Oreochromis niloticus: one gene and its partner. The protein of the gene in region 1 interacts with the protein of each later gene in a pairwise test. Links are inferred from orthologs where the notes say so. Each region holds a gene or a part of one and is shown in the gene's direction. Other genes may lie near its edges.

What was found.
Region 2: the proteins of meox2a (region 1) and G patch domain-containing protein 2-like interact in binary tests that used the Homo sapiens proteins (3 or more experiments, as listed by UniProt). The two-hybrid records come from large-scale screens. The link is inferred for Oreochromis niloticus from reciprocal best matches to the Homo sapiens genes MEOX2 and GPATCH2L.

What each region holds. Positions count from the first base shown.
Region 1 is NC_031976.2:32,488,360-32,495,376, forward strand, and holds the start of meox2a (homeobox protein MOX-2), read left to right. Parts: upstream 1-3,997; 5' UTR 3,998-4,498; coding exon 4,499-5,051; intron 5,052-7,017. UniProt on the Homo sapiens protein: Mesodermal transcription factor that plays a key role in somitogenesis and somitogenesis and limb muscle differentiation. Required during limb development for normal appendicular muscle formation and for the normal regulation of myogenic genes.
Region 2 is NC_031983.2:10,367,199-10,374,808, reverse strand, and holds the start of G patch domain-containing protein 2-like, read left to right. Parts: upstream 1-4,591; 5' UTR 4,592-4,710; intron 4,711-7,002; 5' UTR 7,003-7,006; coding exon 7,007-7,610.

The sequences.
Region 1 (7,017 bases):
CTCAGTGTGATATGGTATTTGTCAACGAAGCTGTAGCACATTTAAGTATTGCCTCCTTATTAAGAATCTGAGTCCTAAAAATATGTTCAAGTTACGGAGCCTGACAAAAATGAGGAAAAACTACTTGCTGCTACTAATTTGAAAGGGATTTTCTATTGATGACAATCGTGAAAATTGCTTGTCTTCCAACACGTTTGCTTGCAATTTTTATTAAAAGGGATAATAATAAAATTTATTTTTAAATAAAAATCACTGTACTCACTCCATCTTGGGTAAGGAGAAATCAGTGTTCTACCTTCTGCAGGTTTCTACTTATTTACAAAGACACTTCGGTTATCACGTCCGTACTTCGCTGCACGCTTTAGAGGCTCACTGAGTGTTATACACTCTGAAATGTTTCCATATTAGCCGGAGACTAAAACAAGAGGAAAAAGTTTAATACTGATTACACACACACTGGGCCTTTTTAAATGCTCATATTAGACTCTGAAGCCGAGAGAGCCGGCATCAAAGCTTTTCTGTAGTGAAGCATATTACACATCCGGGCCCGTTAAATTTGGGAATGTGAGTGCAGCAAGTGGCAGCAAGAATAACTGAAAGGATTTAGTTTTATCATAAAGTCTGGTAAGCTGGTGTGCCAGCAGATTTCTTTTTAAATGCAGTATATAAATATATAGTGTTTTGTAACACACTCTAAAGTTGCTGCATGTGGACATAAAGGCAGCAATTATAACTTCTCCTAAAAAAGATATTTTACATTATTACATCTGTGTTTTTCTAATTTGTGTTTGAACGTGAGCCCCATAATAACATATTTGTTACATATTAACAAATATATTAACATCTTTGTTCACTGCCAGGTGCCATATAAGGCTCATTTACATGCTAAATAAAGGAAATATGAAAACATACCGTTACCCTTCTCTCATTTTTTCATTTCTTTAATGCATACAACACACTTTCAACACATTATTTCTTTTATGCCTCTGTTGGATTTTTGTTTGCTCTGTTTGCTTTTGATCATATCATTGCTTGTGTGCTTATCTGTGTAGTACCTCTGTATTGGCCTATTGCGTTTCCAGGTAAGATTTTTTCCTTCCAAGCTCTCAGGGGCTTTTAAATCCAACTACACAGCTTCCTTCTATTCTTTTCTTCTAATTTTTGCTCTCTTTTGTGTTTTGCCTACAAGAAAAAAAAGAAAAGAAAAAAAAGAAAGAACCCTTAGAAATTTTAATAACATGTTAAAGAAAGGCAGATATACTTTTTCACTGTTTTACATTTCAGCAAAAGCCAGAACTTTCACTGTTGCTGGCTGGTAAAATTTCAGCAATTAGACAAAGTTTGGTAATTTAGCAGCAAATGACGATGTTAACTTTAAACACCATCACACACTCTTTAAATTAGTATAAGAAAAGGAGTAAAGTGGTAGCTGCATGTTTGTTTTGGTGACGGTGGCACTGAGCTGTGGTTGCTGTAATGTGTCCTGCCTGTGGGACTGACTGACAGCCACAGGTTGAGCAGCAGGTCTTTTACCTTCAGTTTCTGTGTACTGCAGAGAAAACATGCTGCCCCGAGCCCCGCTTTAAGATCATCGCAAACACAGCCTCTTGGTAGCCTCTTCTTTTGAACTTTTTATGCTTTACACACACACTCGCCTTAAAACGTCATGTCACATGTCATCACATAAAAAGTCAGACAAATGTGTGCTTTTGGAGGCCAACACAGGTAGCGGTGGATTTACAGCACCACGGTTTGTGCCAGTATTCAGAATATCATCATTCTTATTTCCAAATAAGAGTTGTTGGGTTTTTTAAAATTTCAGAGTTCGAACACATTTGAAAATGCATTTACACCATCATGTGACACTAAATATCTTCACTGAATACAAACTAATGACGTTTACTTTTAGGGTTAGGCGCTCTTAAAGGCACAAAATGTAACCAGTGTCAGGGATTACATTTAATTTATAAAAAAGAGAAGCTAATTAAATATATAAAATGTGTAAAATATTTAATTGCTTTTATGAGGGCAATAAGACTCTTTGATCCTTCATTTTTTTAACAATAAAAGATGTCGGCTTTAACTATGAATGTATCCCTATTTTACACACCAACACTCTCTCACTTATTCACACACAAGAACATTTTGCCTCATAAAGCTCACAAGGGCCAAAGACTCGGACCGACTGAAAACACCCACGCCACAGGCCATCGGTGTAGCGAGACCAGCAATAGGATTGGAAACACGTGTGTAGTAATACCTGCTCAAGGCCCTGAGCAAATATATAGCCTGGGCTAACCTGCTAATAGCCTTAATTTGTAAGATAAACAGTAGAAGAGTTTGACACTCACTCACCTAAGGTGCCTTTCCTCTGCTGCGCTGCCTCTGCTGCCTTCAGAGGCTTTGGAGGGACTGGGGGGGAGCGACAGCGGCAAAGTTACAGCCTGCCTCCGCCATGCTATCTGTTAAAGTAATTTTCCCTCAAAGAGGAATTAATTTCCTTTCTCAGGCGGCTCACAGAGCCCCATGGCACAGCCTGACTGGATCCCTAGAGTGTGGAGTCATCGTGACCGTCTCCCTCTAAAACCTGGCCGAGCCATGAAAGCTCTGAAGCAGCTTTGACTTTTAATTTTGTTTTATAGATTATATTGATTTAATTTATCCTGTGTATTCTTTTATTTCATACTGCGGGCAGTGTGCAAGTGTGCTTTTGAATTTTAGAAAACAGAAATAGGAAGGAAAGGAGATATCTATCAGACGATCATTCATCTGTATTTCACCGAAAATGTAAAACACTTAAGTTACAATTTAATTCTATTATATGAACCATCAATATCACACAAAGTGTTACATTTTAAATTACGTGACTAAGAAAATGTAATTGTATAGAACCAGATTTTTATAATTCCCCCATTAGGTCAATACCATACAGCTACAAATCATTATTATGTCTCATCTTTTTCTTCCAAGACTTTCTGTCTTAAATGAGGTTGACAGGAGAAAAATAAATGAATTTTATTTGATTTTATTTGAGCTTTAGTTGAGCTCTGGATATGAATAATTAGAGAAAATAAGAGAAACCAGTGACACATTCACAGCTGTTTCCCAGCTGCTATTTTCCCCCTACTTCTCACAAAGAATGACTTTTCTTTTATAGCCAAACAAATTTAAAGAGAGACACTAATGTTAGGAGCAAAAAATTTATGAACAACTTTCCTTCTGTTCATTTCCTTCTCTACACACGAATACGCTCCACATACTAATATTTAATTTATATATATATATATAAATAGAAATTGTTACAGGCATAGTTTATATAAAAACAATGTGTTGGCATCTACAATTGTATAAAATAGCATTTCCACATTTGCCACAGCAATTATTGGTGATAAAAAATAGTGGAATAAAGTTTGTTATTTCAGGAAGCAGATTTGTGACCTTCACGACCTCGTATCAAAAGTCGAAATGTATCCATATCGGTTTAATGATGTGTTTCATTTCAAAATGAGATAAACACCATTTCCAAAAAAAGTCACATTCACAAAATGATTGGTTACACTACATTAAAAAGGAACCGTGGTCATTCTAAGTCTAGCATGGGCAAAACGTTAGCCTTCCTTTCACTTATGAAAAGTTTGGTTCCAAAATATTTGTTTCCAATAAGTTGCAAGTCTGCGTTGCAGTGACAAAATAGCTCTCTTAACATCACATGATCGTGATAGTGATGGCTTAAAGTGACCTTTAATGGACGCTACAAGCATCCTTGCCCGCTACCACCAACTTTTGACAAAGATGGGGTGACACGCTGAGTTAACCTCTGACACCTCTCCTTCGCTCTCTCTTCACACTCTCTCCCTTCCCCTCATACGACCTCCCTCTCCCTCCCCCAGCCCCACCCATGAACCATTAAGGCTGTTTTCTTGTAGGAAAAAAAGATGGCCACCCGAGGTCAGATCCAAGTCCAAAATAAATTGCCTTCTTTCCTGAGGCTCAGCCATTTTAATAGTACAGATTTATTATGCTGTGCTTTTTGGAGGGTGATCATATGTATGTGGTCAGTAGCGCGTATGCAGTCTATGACCCAGCCTCCCTCTCACGTTACACCCTATTTATAACATCCCCTGCGCTGGCTCCCCTCGTTCTGCAGTTCCTAGGAACCTCCTTCTGCTCCCAGCCTCGAGCTCCAGTCCCGTGTTCCTCCTGACATCTGAGAGGCTCAGCTGCAGCTTGTCCTGGGCTAACTGTTTATCCTGTACAGCCTGGCAACTGGCCGCATGCTCTGGATTACCACAGGACACCCATTTCAAAACACATTTTACTTGCTGCTCTGACCATTTTTTCCTAACTGAAGAGAAAAGTTTTGGGATAGTCAAGGAAGAAAGGGAAGCATCTTGGATATGCGCTTGTGATCTTTCTGATTTTGGTTGATTTAGTAACATTGCCTCTTACGCTTGCCCTTCTCACCTTTCCCGGAGGGCCGTGTGTGTGTTTGCACACAATGGATCACACACTGTTCGGCTGCCTGCGGAGCCCCCACGCCCCGGCGCAGGCCCTGCATCCCGCCTTCACCCAGTCTCCTCTGGCGCTTCACGGACGCTCGGACCATGTCTCCTACCCTGACCTGGCCTCTTCGTCGTCCTCCTCCTCTACCTCCTCACCCTCGCCCTGTATCATCTCCAGCTACCCGGGTGACGACAGCCTGTTTCCTGGGCAGCACCACCACCACCCTCACCGCGGCCACCTGCCCTCCCAGCAGCATCACCACCCACCTCAGCACCATACATCTTGGCATATCCCGCAGATGCCGTCACCTGGCAGCAGTACTCGCCACAGCCTTTGCCACCCACACTCCCACTCATCTCACGACAATGGGCCCACGCCTTCAGACCTGGGCCACCCCGGTGGGCCCAGTATGTGCGCCAGCACCCCCAGTCTAGGCAGTGGCAGCACCCCTACAGGGGCCTCTTGTGTGCCTGCAGACTTTGGCAGACAGACTTTGTCACCTGCTGAGGCCGAGAAGAGAAACGGCAAGAGGAAAAGTGACAGTTCAGGTAAGAGAAGCTGGGATTTTCCGAAGCGATAAGTGAAGCAGTTCTGAAGGCAGAGATTTCATTCGTGTGTTTTTTAAAGCTGACACATTGCACAACCCGAGACTTCATGTAAAATACTTTGGAGGCATTTCTAAAATGTCTTTGTTCATTATTTTACTTGGATAAACATTTTAACATAAATATCAGCATTTAAGAAATTCCACACAGAGCTCAAGAATAACAGAAACATCTGTACACATCACTCTAAATCATTCAACAGCACAACTGTTGGGAATTCTGCAGCTCTGATACAAAAACAAAAAAACGTCTGGAAAGCGGTTTGTAGGTGCCGGCTGACACGCAGCAAGGCGGGAGGCGACAGGCGGACTGAAGCGTGGAGCAAAGGCCACATCATAAGTGTGCAGGCACATCTGACTACTGGCATGTTTTGTTTAAAAATCACATCTGGTTTGTTGCAACACTTTTTAGAGAGCTGAGAATAAAGAGGGCAGTAAAGAATTAATGTCATGGATTGTAAAAGACTACACCGGTGCCTCATGGCACACTAAACAACCGGGCGGACGCAAATTGTTTTCATTTACTAAAAACTGCAGTTAAAAGAAATCTCAGGTTTACTGAAGTAAAATGAAAGACTGGGAAGTATTTGTAGTGTCATGTTTAACAAAGGCCAAGTTTAGATAGGGAACTTACTACTGTTACAAAATGTATGTAGCTAATCATATTAATATTTGACCTTTTTTCATTTATTTTAAATGATCTTATTATCACAAAAAAAACACGCCACTTAATTCCTACAAAATTTAAAAGACCATTACAAGTTTCCTTTATTTTTATCTACAGGCAGTTGTTCAGGACAGTAAAGCTCCCGAGGGCAGTGAGCTTTAACACACCTTCTTGTTAAATTTTACATTTGTGATTCTCCCAAAAATCACCCATAAATTATGCATGTATAATCATTTAATTGCTCTTGAATCGGGCCTCATTCATACAAATGTATTTAAAAATTCAAAACCACAGATAATTATAAAAAGCACACTTCTCACAAATCATTAATAAATAAACACCTTTTTAATACTATATTTAAATTGATAATAAAGCAGCTGATGACCTGCAAAACCTTTGCAACCTGCAGGCACCACAATAATCAGTCACACGATGATAAATGGCCGGGGTCGAGTCGCAAGAAATCTCACTAGCAAAGTGATATCAGTGAGAGTTTCTCATAGAAAGTCTGCTTGCCAGTTTGTGTCCATTTGAGGATTTCAGCCTGTCATTGCTAATCCTGCACCCTTTGGATAAGGTCTCTGTACTCGCAGTGCATCATCTGCAGTTGACCGGTGATATTCCCACATCTCCACAGGATACTTGGAGAGTGTGTTTCTTCCCCCTCTGACTGGTTGGGTGTTGCTGTAGCTGACAACAAGTTTATATACCAAAAGTTAGGGAAATATAACAGGATTAACTTTAGACTGACTTTAAATAATAACACAAAACAAAAACACCACTGGCACTAATTTAGCTTTCAATCCAAATTCCGTGGTGATTATTAGAAACTCCATAAGTGAACTGAAATATTTGCCATTTTACAACATAAAATGACAGATTTCAACATTTTATTTTCCTTTGCACTAAATGTCCAGTTGTCCACATGCAAAATGTTGAAATAGTACATTTAACCCATTAATTCATCACTCTACCTCCTACTCCCTTTCCTCTTTTGTCAAATCACTGGAAAACTGAGCCCTTGCCTCCAGATCCCACTTCCTCTGCAACAATAGTCACTGCATACTCATTACATGTGCAGCGCATTCTCCCAACGCTAACACCAATCACGCTGATTATTGGGGCTAACTAGGCTGCTGACTCAGTCAGCTGTCTAAATATCAGAGCACTGCCTGTTGCATGAGATAGAGCTCTGATTAGGTTTCACCATCTGGACGAGAAACTTGAGCGAAACCTGAATTTA
Region 2 (7,610 bases), on another chromosome or scaffold:
CACAGTTAAAAGATCAGTTTTTCAGGGGGCTAATAATTTTGACCCCGGTATTTTATTTTTTTCTGGAATAATTCTGTTATTTTGTTCAAACAGAATTAATTTATTCTTTTTTTTTAATAAAAATTAGTATATATAGAAATGTTGAAAATCCTTTGCTTCATTGCTTTTGACAAAAAAAAATTATTTCATAGGGGAAGCAATACCTCTGTCCTCATCTGTAACTTAAAAGTCTGCTTTTACTTGCAGTTAAATATTTTTCAGCGATGAAAAAGATGCCACATAACAATGATCGAAACATATTAAGAGACACCCTCGTAGGATTAGTTTTTTAAAGAGAGACAGATCTGTTAGAGAACTCTTCAAATCATTCCCATCTGTCTAAAACGGCTCTGACAAAGATGATTTAAAATGTAAAGAGCTGGCGCTCAGCTCTGTAACCCCTCCCCTTCTCTAAAAGGACAGAGAAAAGAATGATACAAACAGAAGGGGGGGAAAAACTCAAATCCAACTCATTTTTTACTGTATGAAAGTTTCACAAGGTCGTTGGGAGAGTCATGTTAACACAATACCTGAATACAGATTTGTTTCCTTGTTCTACAAGTCACGGAGACCCGAGTCTTTAAGCGATCATTATTACCATACAAATAGACAGATCTATTTAACAACCCCCTTTTTATCGCATAACACTTATTCTTTAGTGTTGCTCCCTGAAAGGCACTGAAATGTGTCTCTCCCCCCACTTACTCTTCCCCTCTTTCTTTTTTTCTTTCTTTTTTTTTTTTCCCCGGGAAATCGTCTCCGGGTTGATAAAGGCTCAGAGCAATAGAAGAAGCAAGGCTGACATCTTCTTAAGAGTTGATAGGAGAGCCAAATCAAATAGGATGGAGCAGTCACTCTTTTCACAGATAGGTAGCTCATTTCTGGTGGCTGAGAGTTTGCATCCCTAGTGGCGCTCTGCCTGGGAAAGATAGCTCGCTCGGACTCCATTCATTATTTCATTCCCTGTCTCCTCTTTTCACATCTTAGCTACTTCTTTTTTCTTCTTTTTTTTTTTTGCTTTAATGAGTTGCCTATTTTTCTCAAGTGTTGATGGCGATCTTGGAATTTAGATTTGGAGACAAAGTGTTTAATCACAAGCGTTTTTCATTTGCCAAGAAGAGGCAAAAAAAAAAAAAATCAATTATTTCTATTAGACAATGCTGATTGAAAATGAATGGAAGTGGTAACATTTTGAAACAAAGGCTCCACGGAGACAAAGATAAGTGTCAGTCTGCTACCCCTGAGGTGTGATGTGTGGTTTGGCTTAATAAGCAGTTTGCAAAACATTTGCTATTAAATCTTTGCAGAGGGTTGATACAAACACAGAGCAGTTTATTAATAATAACAGCTCATAATTCTGTACTTTTAGTGTCACATTGTTCCTCGCAGAGTCAAAGTTGGGGTCCAGATGTAGCAAACTTCTGTTTTTTTTTGTTTTCATGAACGCGTGCGTTGACGCATTAAAGATGTAACTTCATCAGAGGAAATTGCAGGAACTTTCCCCGTCCCCTTATTTATTCCAACACTTACTGAATGAAGCCTCCAAACTCCATATGATATTCACTTTGGCACTTTGTGAAGAGCACTTTGCTATCGCATCCCTCACATTCTCTGCAAATCCCTTAGAAAATTATTTATAAAAATTAACTTCTCTTGCAGAGAGCTCATTCAAAAGAAGAATTACACAACAGATAAAACACTTTATCGCCAGTGAAAGACTAGACAATGTACGTCGAGAAATTGGGAAGAAGGCAGAAACAATGAATATTAAGTGCCTAAGAATCCAAAGCTGCTGACTAAATTGAAACAGTATATCCTGAGGGGGCAAGGTTTCCAAATTGCTAATTACTGCCTCTGAAAGGGGGCTGTTTCTGATATGTTTGCTTGTGAAAGGCTGCCACTTAATGAAGCAGTGGCTAAAGTTTTTTTTTCCTTTCTTTCTTTTTTAATATTCCCACACTCCAGCTTTCAGGGCTCTCTCCGGACTTTCCTCCCAGGCCAGAACAATGGCGGGCCCAGGAGCCCAGCTTCCCCACAGGCCCAATGAGAGGAGGCCGGGGGCTGGGTACTGAGGGAGCCGCTCAGCATGCTGAAATATGGAGGCGACAGATAAGGTGGCAGCGGCACAGAGAGGCCCTCTCCCATGGGCCCAAGGGGAAATTTGCAGTTATTAAGAGGAAGATGAGAGCGATTAAATGGCTTTTGTACTCATTTTCACTGACTTTTCTTTTTTATTATTTGGGCTGCATTCATCTGATAGATGAAAGAAATGGTAAATTACTTTTTTTCTGCTTCATTCAGCAACAACACTAGCATTGAGAAAACATCATTACAGTGAGCTTCAATCATAAAACACTTATTAGTCCACTATTGTTTTAAAAAGTGTGGCAGCAACAGAATTACTGTAATCTGACATCTGGAACTACAGTAATTACAAATTTAACATGGTTTGGGATTTTGGTTTGAAGAAATTGGACAAAATGTAACATTGATACATGCACAGCATATGCATGTTTCTATGTATGCAATCATTTTATGGATGAACACAGCTGGGAGCGGCTATAGAAGCTTGTGCAATTCCACAACAGCCATGCAGCAAATAGAAAGCTCTTTGATTTTTCTTTTATTCAAGCTGTGTGACAGATCATTTCCCACTGAACAGCTATATGACATACTGCCCTGCAATACACTGTGAGGTCTAACAGTGCAATCCAACACAACAGTGTCTTAAAAAGAGAATGAGTAAATTGCATACTCACAACACAGTGCAAACCTGTTACTAATAATACCTGAAGCCTTCACATAGTGTTAGATATGCTTGAGAAAAGAGCAGAACAGTGGTGCAGTGTCACCTAACAGCAAGGAGATTCCTGGTTTGAACCTCTTCGTCAGCTGGGGCCTTTCTGCCTTGAGCGCCCCCACTTACCCACTCACCAGTGCAAACCTAAGCTGGGCAAGCAGTTAAGAAAATGGATGGATGCTTTAAAAAGTCTCCTTCAGGCATTTTTTAGGAGGATTTTTCACCTTTCGAGATGAAAAAATAGGAAGAAAAATGGTTTTCTCCCGGTTTACTATTGGATCCAATATTTCTCCTCATTCAAAGTCAGCTCTCACCGTTGGTGTATTTGCATTGCTGACTTCAGATTTAGGTAACACACTAATGAAGTTGACTTTGGTTAATGCTAATATTATACAGTGCTGTGCAAAAGTCATGAGCCATCCCTTGTGTCTTTATTTTGGGAAATGGGTGAAGAGATTCATTGAAAAATGTGTAAGCATAAATGGAAATACAGTATATAAGGCAAAAACACAGTTTGAACAATTCTATTAAACTTGAAAGTCACTATGTGGTATGACCACCTTTATTATTCAGTATAGTCTGAACTCTCTTAGGCAGCTTTCTTGTAATTTCTTTAGGTAGTCTTCAGGAATAGTTCTCCAGGCTTCTTGAAGGACATTCAAAGCTCTTCTTTGGATGTTGGCTGTCTTTTGTTCTGTCCTTGATCCCACACTGCTTCAATAATGTTAAGGTCCAGTCTCTGTGGAGGCCAATCCATGACTGATGGTGTTGTAATTCTGTGTTTTTCTATCCACGTATGCTTTTACTGCATTGGAAGTGTGTTTGGAATCACTGTCATACTGCAAAATGAAGCTGTTCCCAATCAGGGCCAGATGCATCTCTCAGGTCCTGTGTCATGTCTCTCCTGGATTTGTCTCTGTTTCTTAACAATGTACCTATTAAATACTATCAGACTATCAGATGTGGTACAATGACTGGATTGGTAACAAGTTAAAAATCAGCCAATGTCCAAAGAAAAACTTTGACAGAACTTCTGAAAGCTTGAAGAACAAATGTTTAAGACCACTTCAAAAATGACAAGAAAGTCTGGCTACTTGCAAGGAAACTACATAGAAATAAGGGTATCTTAAGACTTTTGCACTATATATCCAACTCACGGGTGCACAATTTTAAGTTTCATTTTAGATCAGCATAGAAAAACAGTGCATTAGCAGTGTTTAGCAGAGAAAACAATCCATAGTTTCTAAAACCTCTGAATTCTACACAGTGGAAGCAAAGGTATCCAGCTAAAGTTACCAAATCCCATCAAAACAGGAGTGGAGTATGTTTGTGTGAGACAGCCTGCTAACACTGAGAGGTGGTCTGATGTTAACATAGAGCTATTTCTTTAAATATATACAAAACATACAAGATGCAGTTTTACATTTAGTCTATGAAAAACACACATGATCTAAACTGAATGGGACTTTCTCAGGTACTTCACTAACTAAATAAGCATAAGCTCATTCTAATTGTCCCTTGTGACCGTCAGCATGCAGTCCCCCTACAGTCCTCCTTTCCTACCACCACAACTTTTTGTAAACCCTGATGGAAGAAAACTTGCACATTTTCAAAGTCAGATTTGACTGACATTATCTTCCACACCAGCACTCCGTCGGTTTCCTGAAGTGATGCCATAATGATCAGACGCTGGTGTTATCTGCCTTGCAGGCTGTATTTCGACAGCACTGTGCAGTGGCGCACTGTTTTTTTGTTTTTTTTGTTTGGAGGAGTCACAGCGAGGCGGAGCCACCCGATTGGCTGGACTGCAGGGCGGAAGTGCGTCTGGTGTCCCAGCTGTGCTGAAAACAAAACAAGACAAGCTGCGACTGGTGAGTGCTCGAAACGCAGAGGGATGTCTTCTCCCTGGCGTTAAATAGCATCCGAATAGATCCGCGCGCACCGTGTCCGTGAGGCGGCTGTTGTGTTGAGCGCGTGTAAACCGCTTGTTTTGTTGTCAGCAGTGGACACAGAGATGTGTGGCTGTCCTTGTGCTGAGCTCACGTGTGAGCTGTTGTTATGTAACACAGGCTGAGCTGAGCGTGCGGATACTACAGCCAGCCTGAGCTGTTGTTGTGCTGCACTGATGTTGCACAGCTACACGGTCGCTTTTCTTTACTGCTAATAAAACGTGATGTCAATCGTTTTTCTTTTCTTTTAAGCCGATGATGACCTGCAAATGCTCGTAAATGCAGCGCTTTCTACACCGCTGCAATCAAACACGGAGCAATTCCGGTGATGAGCCCACCACGAATTTATGTTGCTAGACTTAAAGGGGGGGGAAATCAACCTAGTGATGTTTTATAGCGCTAAAGCTATTGTAGATTTACTTTGTGATTGTTGCGAGGAGGTGGTGTTTTTCTTTGTTTGTTTGTTTTTTGTCCCATGTCTTTAAAAATGGGATTATGACTGCCACTTGGCTACTTGGGTCTACTGAAATGGACCTCAGTCATCATGGCTGAGATGGTTGGGAAGGTATAGTTCATAATGCTGCTGATACACAAACAGGTAACAAATTACAAGAAACACGTGTAACTGCATTATTAAGTCCCTCCGGAGCAGTTTCACTTTGCAACTCATTCTCCAAATGAAGCCACAAACCATCCTTTCAATAGATACTTCCATATTAGGCAATTAATGATGCTCTTGCGACTGTGCGGGGTTTAGCACATTATTTATGTCTTCCTCAAACCATAAGAGAACCCGCCCATAAAGAAAGAAAGCAACTTTGTATTGATTTGCAGAGGGACAGGTGGACCCCAGCTGTCCTAGCAGAATGCCCGCTGCAGCACTAATGATTGCATAATTATAAGAGTAGAAATATATGAAATTAAAAGGGAACAATGGCATGTCGTTTAGTGGCAAGTCCAGCAAAGTAACAACCTGCAAATACACTATTTCCATTAGACTTTCTCAATGAATGGTTTGACTTGTTGTTTTCTTTACACCTTGAATATTCACACTCACTGGCCACTTTATTAGGAACATCTTGGTAGTACTGGACTGGACACCCTTTTGTTTTCAAAACTGCCTTCATTTTTCATGGCACAGGTTCACCAAGGTGTTGGAAATATTCCTCAAAAACTTTGGTGCATTTTGACATGACAGAATCAGGCAGATGCTGTAGATTTTGTGTTGTGAATCTCCTGTTCCAGCACATCTTAAAGGCGCTCTAGCGGATTAAGATCCGGGTGCAGTGAAGTCATTGTCATGTTCAAGAAACCTGTTTGAGATGATTTGAGCTTTGGGACGTGGCGCATATCCTGCTGGAAGTCGCCATTAGAGGGTGGGTAGACTGGTGGGTCAGAAAGGGATGGATGTGTTCAGCAACAATACCCAGGTGTGCTGTGGTGTTTAAACAATACTGAGCTGCTGAGGTGTGCCAAGAAAATCCTCTGCACCTGTACACCACCAGCAGCGGTCTAAATGTTTGATTTGATTTCAAATGTTGCAGGAAAAATGGGGAATCATGAGACCAGATAACATTTTTCAAATTTTCTACTTTTCAGTTTTGGTGATCTTGTATGAACTGTAGTCTTGGTATCCTGTTCTTAGCTAACAGCAGTGTCATCCAGTGTGGTTTCTGCAGATTCATTCAGGGATGCTCTTCTACATATCTTGGTTGTAATGAGTAGTTATTTAAAGTTTCTGTTGCTTTTTTATCAGCTCAAAGTCAGTCTACCCATTCTCCTCTGGCATCATAACCCATTCTGGCACCCATAACCCATTGTGAGAAAATCCCAGTACATCAGCACTTTCTGAAATACTGGGACCAGTCCCATTTGATGCTCAGTTTAAACTTCAGCAGGAATACATCTACATGCCTAAATGCACTGAACTGTTGCTGTGTGATTGGCTGATTAGATATTTGCATTAACAAGAGGTTTAACATGTGTGCCTAATAAACTGGCCAGCGAGTGAAGATGGTGATAATCATTTAGAAAAGCCCACATTGTGGGTATATTTTCAAAAAATGAGAGTGACTTCAGGAGGAGCACATCAAAGTACATTGGACGTTTCTATTGTTTCATATAAACCTCTAGCCTGCACTTAACAACTGCAATTTAACATGACAAGACATCCAAAGAGTTTAACTGGTCACTAACATTTTCTTTTTTTCCCAGCACCATGATGGATGAGCTGGTGCAGGACCTGGTGTCTGCACTGGAGCAGACCTCAGAACAGAATAAGCTTGGAGAGCTGTGGGAGGAAATGGTCCTGAGTCCTCTGGAGCAACGCCGTCAGATCCGCCGTCGCAGAGGCCGTAAGCGTTTTCGCGAGTCCACCCTCTACCCGATAGAGCACAGGCGATGCTGGATCGAGGCATCCGAGTCCAGCTTGGACGAGGCTAAAGAATACAGGGAGAACATCACTACTTCTGTGGCCAACTGCAGTGACTCTGACGATATGACCGCATCCACCCGATGGCCGTCCCTCATGAGAGGCTCAGTCAGGGCGAGGCAGTCCTCCTGGCCAGAGTCCGACTCCTTCAATGAGAATAACCCCGGACGTCCACTCAGGAGGCGGAGGAAAGTTAAACGCATGACCTCAAATGTAACCGTCAGACTGCAGTCCACTTTAAAAGGTTCTGGTTTGGATAGGAAACAGAGGAATAGGCCTTCTAAGGTGCGGCATCTGTCAGGATCAAAGAAGCGGTCTGGTGGTTGGATGGGAGCAGACAGAAAGACTGAAAGAGCCAGACTGATGGGAAAGGAGTGCTGGGAGAGAAAGA